Rattus norvegicus: one gene and its partner. The protein of the gene in region 1 purifies or fractionates together with the protein of each later gene. This does not show direct contact. Links are inferred from orthologs where the notes say so. Each region holds a gene or a part of one and is shown on either strand. Other genes may lie near its edges. The genes, in order: Snrpa and Snrnp70.

The links.
Region 2: the proteins of Snrpa (region 1) and Snrnp70 purify together in Homo sapiens (affinity purification with mass spectrometry; 4 studies listed by BioGRID and IntAct, counting the BioPlex papers as one, with this or other methods). This does not show direct contact. The link is inferred for Rattus norvegicus from reciprocal best matches to the Homo sapiens genes SNRPA and SNRNP70.

Annotation. Positions count from the first base shown.
Region 1 is NC_086019.1:91,615,638-91,619,547, forward strand, and holds the start of Snrpa (U1 small nuclear ribonucleoprotein A), read right to left. Parts: upstream 2,406-3,910; 5' UTR 2,343-2,405; intron 1,907-2,342; 5' UTR 1,885-1,906; coding exon 1,812-1,884; intron 1-1,811. Other genes in the region: Actmap (actin maturation protease), read left to right, coding at 3,380-3,720. UniProt on the Homo sapiens protein: Component of the spliceosomal U1 snRNP, which is essential for recognition of the pre-mRNA 5' splice-site and the subsequent assembly of the spliceosome. U1 snRNP is the first snRNP to interact with pre-mRNA.
Region 2 is NC_086019.1:105,009,966-105,013,875, forward strand, and holds the start of Snrnp70 (U1 small nuclear ribonucleoprotein 70 kDa), read right to left. Parts: upstream 2,887-3,910; 5' UTR 2,703-2,886; intron 2,614-2,702; exon of another isoform or gene 2,292-2,613; intron 2,026-2,291; 5' UTR 2,016-2,025; coding exon 1,869-2,015; intron 1-1,868. UniProt on the Homo sapiens protein: Component of the spliceosomal U1 snRNP, which is essential for recognition of the pre-mRNA 5' splice-site and the subsequent assembly of the spliceosome. SNRNP70 binds to the loop I region of U1-snRNA.

The DNA of each region.
Region 1 (3,910 bases):
AACACTTCTTTCACTCCAGATGAGCTAACCTCAGTCCTTTCATTCACTCACTTACTTATTCAAGGCACAGTCCAATTCTGCAGTTGAACTCTAGGCAATCCTCCTGTTTCAGTCTCTGATCACAAGCAGGACCTCCCAGTCTCTGCAACTCCTCAGCCTTTGAACTCTGAGTGGGATGTCCTTTTCCTGACATCTCCATGACTGCCCTCTCCGAGCCACTAAAGTCTCCCACAAGTCTGCAGCCTCCAGGAGGCCCTCTCCAACTGGTCTGTCTAGACGCCCCCTTATCTCCCTCTTCTTATCCTGTCTCCTGCTGTTCATGTCACAAGTTCACTTACTGACCACTGCTCACTAACAGCTACCAGCCTGTGGATTGGACATGCTGGCACCACCCCGGAATCTCAACACTGGATTTCCTGGATCAGGAGCTGGAGGCAGGAGCATCAGGTACCTGAAGTCATTTATTGTGGGACCTGGGAAAGATAGGCTTATTGGCAAGCATGCGTACCAGCTGAACCATCTTTCTGGTCCTCCCCGGACAATTTTCTCTAGTTGGTCATAAGAACTATGACCCTCCCTCAGCTTCTCAGTGCTACTGAGAAAAAAGCAACGCACAAAGGGGCCAGTGTAAGGGTGGTAGAGCATCCATCTACTTCACAAGCTTCACAGCCTGAGTATGACCTCAGGAACTCACAGTGGAAGGAGGAAGGCCTCTCTAGAGCCGTCCTGACCACCCACCCACACACATATCCATTTATAGACACATACCAACTATGTATATATAGTTACTTGTGTTTAGTTTTTTAAAGATGTGTGCTGGGATTCAGTCTTTGCAGAAAGGTAAACTTTCTACCCCTGGGCCTTACCTTCCAGAGAAAAACTGAATTGGCCGGGATTTTTGTTTAAAAATAGTTATCTAGGGCTGAAGAGATGGCTCAGTGGCTAAGAGCACTGACTGCTCTTCCAGAGGTCCTGAGTTCAAATCCCAGCAACTACATGGTGGCTCACAACCATCTGATGCCCTCTTGTGGCGTGTCTGAAGACATCTACAGTGTGCTTATATACAATAAATAAAAAGTATTAAAAAAAAAGTTTTCTAAGTTTTTTTTAAATATGTGGGTATTTTGCCTGCAGAAGCCAGAAGATGTCATATCCCTGGGAACGGAAGTCACAGACAGTTACAAACCTTCCTTGAGTGCTAGAAATCAAAACTGGATCCTCTGGATGACCAGGGAGGGCTGTTTAACCACTGGGTCACCTCTCCAGGCCATGCTGATCTTCTTAGTTGCTGAGACTTAAATCCAGATCCTTACTCACGCTAGACAAGACTAACACTAGTGGCATTCCTCGATCCTTTTGGTGTCAGGGTCTGACTATGTAGCCCAGTGTTGTCTGGAACTCAAGATCCACCTGCCTCAGTCTCCTACCTGCTGGGATAACAGTCCTGTACCTCCATTACAGAGCCATTCACTGCCCATCGCTTCTGCGTGTTATCTGCACTGTAGCCAATCACTGAGACCACCACCCCGAGGTTTGTGGACAGAGGTAGTCTCACAAGAACACCAGACCGATGGAGAGAGCAATCCTGGAAGGGACCTGTGAGCTAAAACCTTGAAGATCACTAACAATGCGCAAATCAAAGGGCAGAGTGTAAAATGCCTGTTGAAACCAAGGAACCAGTATGTACAAAGGCCAAAGCCAATTCTTAACAGACTGAATGGGGAAAACTGAAAAAGAAACGTGGGTGCTAGAGGTGAAAAGGGGTCAACTCTTGTGAGATCGCATTGAGTCAGGCTACCCCAAGAACTCACCATCTTTCTTGATCTTCTCATTGAGATTGTTGATATAAATAGTGTGGTTGGGACGGGTCTCGGGAACTGCCATGGTGTGAGATGTTCAGGTACTGCTTAAGGAGGAAGAAAAAGCGATTTAGCCTTACGTTTCCCAAGTTCTTTGTTCTAAAGGACTGGTGGGCTCTGCTCAGGGATCTTTCTTCCAGGAGGGAGTAGAGTAAGACCGGAATTGGGGGAGGATGGCACACTTAGCAACAAAGCCAGCCTAGGACTCCGCGTCTCCAGCCCGCGTGTTAAGGAAGATCTAGAGATTAACTACGAATCCCAGAATGCACTACGAGCCCCGGCAGGCGGAGCACACGGAGCGGCTCTTCCCATTAGTCCACGTGCGCGAACGGCGACCCGGGAGAAAAAAGAACCCGGATGTCGGAGCCAGTTAAGAATGTAGAGATCGACTCGGAACATCCTAGTCTCTCAAAAGAGAGGCCTCCCCAAGTGCTCCACCCGCTTCCCCGGCGCCGAGCGGCGTCTACACCCGCGGGAACTCACCACCTAAGCCGTCGCTCAGACCGACAGCGCCCGCCAAGCTACGCTGCAAAGACACACAGCTTCTTTCTTCCCTGGTTCCGGCTACCCCCTTCCGCGAGCTAATCAGGGCCCGCAAACTCCGTAAGTTCAGAATAAGTCTCTTCCCGGGCCTCAGTGCCTGCCCAGGAAAAGAACGCTTGCGTTCCCGCCTTAGCGATAAGCTCCTCCCCCTTGCCGAGAGGGGACGGACCAATCAGAGAAGGGTACGAGCTTTTGGCCAATTGGGACGTGGTTAGAGCTCCAGTGCTATTCTGGAGACTGCCTTTCGGGAGCCACACCTCTTCCCCTTCCGCCAGTATCACGTGACCTTCAAGGCGCGTTGTGCTGGTTGCGAGTTCTACCACGTGGGATGGGAAAGGACACTTGGAGGCTGGCAGGGTGACGCCATTTCCTCCCGGGGAGGGGCCTCTGCAAATTCCTAGGTTCTATTCTCTAGTGGAGCGGTATTTACCAACTTAGTCGGCCTTTGATCGCTGAGCTGCTGCAACTCTCATGCTTCCTGGCTGGTTCCTTGACCCTGCCCACCATTAGGTTGTTTTCCCACCTACGTGTCTTTTTTTAACCTCTTGACCCTAGCTCAGATGCAAGGATTCAAACTCAGGCCCGGGATGTGAGGTAGGCCAGTCTCATCCTTTGGACACCTCACAACAGATCTGAACCTCCTTATTACAGAAGTGACCAAAACTAGCTTAGTTACGGCTGCTGAGATGACGCCTACAAAATTTCCCTTCTAATGTAGCCTCAGCCCCATAGCACAGCCTTCTTCATTTGATTTAGCTCAGTTTCTCTTTCCACTGTTTCAAATACTAACCCAGGTTCTCCCAGACCAACTGGTCAGGCACCATATTCTGCAATCAGTTCTAGTTTTAATTATTTTTTTCTACAGGTCTTAATGTGCAGGCCTGAATATCTCTCATCCAGTTCTTTTAAAAACTGAAAATCTCCATCCTTGAGAGATTTAGGAGGATCCTCTTTCTCATTCTTCCTGAAGACCCCAAATGACTTCTCAATGCTCTTTCCCCCTAAAACCCATAATCCCCCCAATAATTCATGAGACCCAAGACACCAACATTCCACCTCCTTTACCCCCAAATCCCCCGGACTTAGCTTTACCATCTCCTCCTTGTAGTCTCCAGGCTTCTGTTTCACCCCCACCTCCGCCCCCGCCCCCTCCACCACCCCCTCTCCCACCCCCTCCACCCTCTGCTGTGGAGGTTGCTCTCCCTCATGTCTACGGCCTGAAGAACAGCCGGCTCCTGAAGGAGGCCTTGGAGAAGGCTGGCCCAGCTCCAAAAGGCAAAGTTGATGTAAAGAGACTCCTGAAGCTGCACAAGGACAGGTAGGGTCACCACCCCCCTGCCAGCCCAGATCTCAGACAGCCACCTGTTTACAAATCACCATAGCCACGCTGTTCTTTGCTTGCCCATTTCCTCCATCTCAAACAGCCAGATAGGCCCCTGCTTAGCTCTTCAGTGGTTGGCCTCCAGCGAGAGAGAACAGCTTCTGCTCATGCCTGGTTCTGAGCAGAA
Region 2 (3,910 bases), about 13 Mb from region 1:
AAAGAACATCAATCTAAATGCCTGTAGACATTTGACATTTGTCATGATATAGGTAACATGGTTGTAAGGTACAGTACCAAAGCTACCTAGTTCCTTCCCATAGCCAAGAACCCTGTCACAGAGGGCCAAATGTTAGAAATATGTCTGAAAGGATGGTGGGCAGGGCAGACCTCCAAAGCAAGACGATCTGTAACACCATGGCAAGTCATAAAATCCTCTCCAGGCTCTCATTAAATGCTAATTGGCACATGATCTGCAAAAAGGGTGCCACTGAGCTGTACCCATTAAAGTAAATGTTTATTGGATAATAACATTTCTCAAGTGGCATGTAGACAAATATTACTGAAGAATCACCTTTCTGTTATCTAGTAAATTCTACTTTTCCTACTTAATGTCAGAATGTTCTTCCTGAGACATCTGGCTATATGGCAGTGTTTCTTAGGTCTGCTCTGAAGGTGGGCATGACAAACTTTCTGCATAAGAGAACTGACTCCAAGGAGCTCAAGTGACTCATATGTACTCAGCAAGTACAGAGCCAACCCCTAGCTCCTAGCCTCAAGCACTGCAGGACGCACTGCTCAGCCCCAGCAAACACTATCCTCTTTAAAAACCACTTTATTTTTACATTTGTTTATTTAGATGAGGATGTATATGTATCACTGTGCATGTAGAGATCAGAGGACAACATGCTAAAGCATATCCTCTCCTTCATTGTGGATTCTAGGACCAGAACTCAGATTTCTTGGCAACAATCACTTTTCACTGCTAAGTCATGTCGTGTATGCAACCCTGTCCTCTTAATGACAAACACAGACATTTACTGCCTTATCCCAAATCCTTTAACAGACATTCTGTGACTCAGCTCTCCACTGGTTTCATCTTACTGCTACCTCTTGCTAAAGCTAAAGCTAACCTAATGCATTACATATGATGTTTTCTGGGTTAGTGGTAGAGACCTAGAACTCTGGCTCTTTGAGCAGAGTAAGCGTAAGTTCAAGGCTGGCCTTAGTGACAAAGGGAAATCTACAAGACCAGCCAAGACTCCACGAAAGACTGTAACCACTCCCCCACCCCACCCCCAACTCCCCTCCCGCAGGACAAAACAACAACCCAGACAGGGTGGAGATACACTTGCCAATGTAACCAATCTAGCCAATAAACTTGGGCAAGGGACTACCATATCCATACAAAAGATATTAACTCTGTGAGGAAATGAACCACTCCTGGAAGCAATACCTGCAGCATTTACAAGACTGAGGAAGAGGACTGCTATAAGGTCAAGGCCACACTGAGCTCTACACACACACACACACACACACACACACACACACACACACACACACAGCAAAATCCTGTCTCAAAACTCAACCAAAAGATGATAGTTCTTCAGGTTAAAGCTCTTGCCATCAAGTCTGAAAACCTCAGCTCCTGGACACACAAGGTGGAGAGAATGGGCTCTTGCAAGTTGTCCTCTGATGTTCACCGGTTTGCACATACACACCCACACATATACAAAAGTGTAATAAAAAAATTAAAACGCGGGCTGGAGAGATGGCTCAGCAGTTAAGAGCACTGACTGCTCTTCCAGAGGTCCTGAGTTAAAATCCCAGCAACCACATGGTGGCTCACAATCATCTGTAATGGGATCTGATGCCCTCTTCTGGTGTATCTGAAGACAGTGACAATGTACTCATATACACAAAATTAATAAATCTTTAAAAAAAATTAAAACGCACACAAAAGCACGAAACAATATAAGAAACAGTACAAGTCACACGCACGCACCACACAACTAAAAAGGTTTTGAAGCTGAATGCCTCAAGGTAGCCCGCCCCCACCCAGAAGCCGAACACTCCCAATGTGCTCACCTCAAACTCTCGGATATATGGTGCAATGCCACAGTAAGGTTGGTTATGGTGTTTTTCATGTGGCAGCTTTTCCAGGGGTGGCAGGTATGGGATGGGGTCTCGGGGTGCAAAAAGGGCCAGAAGGTTGGGAGGCAGAAACTGTGTCATCTTCCCAAATCTAAGACCAGAAACGTTATGTTAGCAATCTTTATTTAGAACAGGTTTCTTCTAGGACCCCTCCACTCAAAAAACAAAACAAAACAAAACAAACAAAACAGGCGTGAGATTTCCTGGATGCTGCTATCCCCTGCCTGAAAAAAGGCCTTGGCAGGAGCTAAAAAAAGGAAAGGCTAATAACACAGAAAACAAAGAGGAAAAGGAGTCAGGAGGTGTGGGGCCCAGGGATCCTGAAGCCTCGAGCTCTAGAGGTTGCTCGCTTCATACCTTCAAGATTACGAAGTAGGGGTTTCAAGGTAGGCCATAAGGATAATATCCCGTAAGCCAGGGGGCCTCTGCGTAAAATATCTAGGATGCCAGAGACGAAAGGAATTATGGGTAGAGGTCCAGGATGCGACCAAAAAAAAAAAAAAAGGCGAGGAAAAAAAGCAACACACAAACCGCAAGGGCCTGTGGGTAGGGGACCGCAGGAGATTGGGGGAGGGGGGACTCTGAGGGAAAGAGAGCCTGAGTGCCCAGAGAACTCTGGGTAAAGGATGGGGAACGCAGGGGGTAAAGTCTAAGGCACTGACCCGGGAAGCGGGCCACAGCCCCGGGGAAAGGGTTCGGGGCCCCGCAAGGGTTTGTGGGTAGCGGCCCCACACCCCGTTAAGGCCACTCATTCACCCACTCACTCACCGCGCGGCGCTCTTCTCGGCCTGACGTTAGTCTCAGGCCTCGCGGCCGCCGTTCACAAACAAAAACTCCCGCTCTGGCTTCCACTTCGGCGGTGCCCGCGTCAGGTATCCACTGTGGTCCGCGCAGCGCGCGCAAACCAGGCCTCTCCTCGCAACCCGCGCGGCCTCAGCTCGCGATCAGAACCGGGAGTGAATGCGACTCGAATCCCTCCGCCTTTCTCACTGCGCATGTGTTATAGGAACCGAAAGAAACCCTCACACAAGTCCGGCCACACCGCGGGCACTGCGCACGCGCAAAAGCTATAGGCCGCCTTAAATGCCTAAGCTTCCGCGGCCCAGCGACCTTATTACGCATGCGTTATCGGACCTAAGTCAGTCTCAACCTCGCGCTCTAGCTAACCGCCTATGACCGCGAGACACTTACAGATGTTCCACCCTTTTTCCTTACACTTCCCGGACCTTCGACGCATGCGTCTAGGTAATGCACGTGCACATATCCTTCCGCAGTCTGTCAAAGAGTGCGTACCTGAACAGGGTCTTTGCAGTTATGTTATTTAAGAGAGAACTCTTTCCCAAATTTCTCGTATGTGCTAGCCACTATTTGGTCTGGGGGACGCAGATCATGACAAAATACTCTTCTCCTTCCTGGAGTTCACATTGTTGAGAGAAAAGATCCATCCGTTTGGTATTTTTTTTCCTTTTTAATGTGTTCTGTTTTTTTTTTTCAGACAAGGTTTCACCATATAACCCAAGATGATTTTGCATTTTGTATCAGTGTGTGTTATTTATCTATATATGTTTATATATACATACATACGCGATAATATGTGTATATATATTTTCTTGATGGGTGTTCTTGTGTTTGTTTTTGGTTTTTGTTTTTCGACACAGGGTTTCTCCGTGTAGCCCTGGCTGCCCTGGAACTCACTGTGTAGACTAGGCTGGCCTCAAACTCACCCACCTACCTCTTGCCTCCTCAGTGCTGGGACCAAGGCACAAAACACACAATTCCAGGTTTTTTCTTCTACATCTTCTCCTTCTCCATTTTCTTCTTTCTTTCTTCCCTCCTTCCTTCTTCTGTTTCTTTCTTCATTTGAGGCAATGACGGATCTGGAGCGATGACTCAGCAGTTAAACACAACTGACTGCTCCATCCAGAGGTCCTGAATTCAATTCTCTGCAGTCACCCTGACCTTCAGCTCTTGGCAAT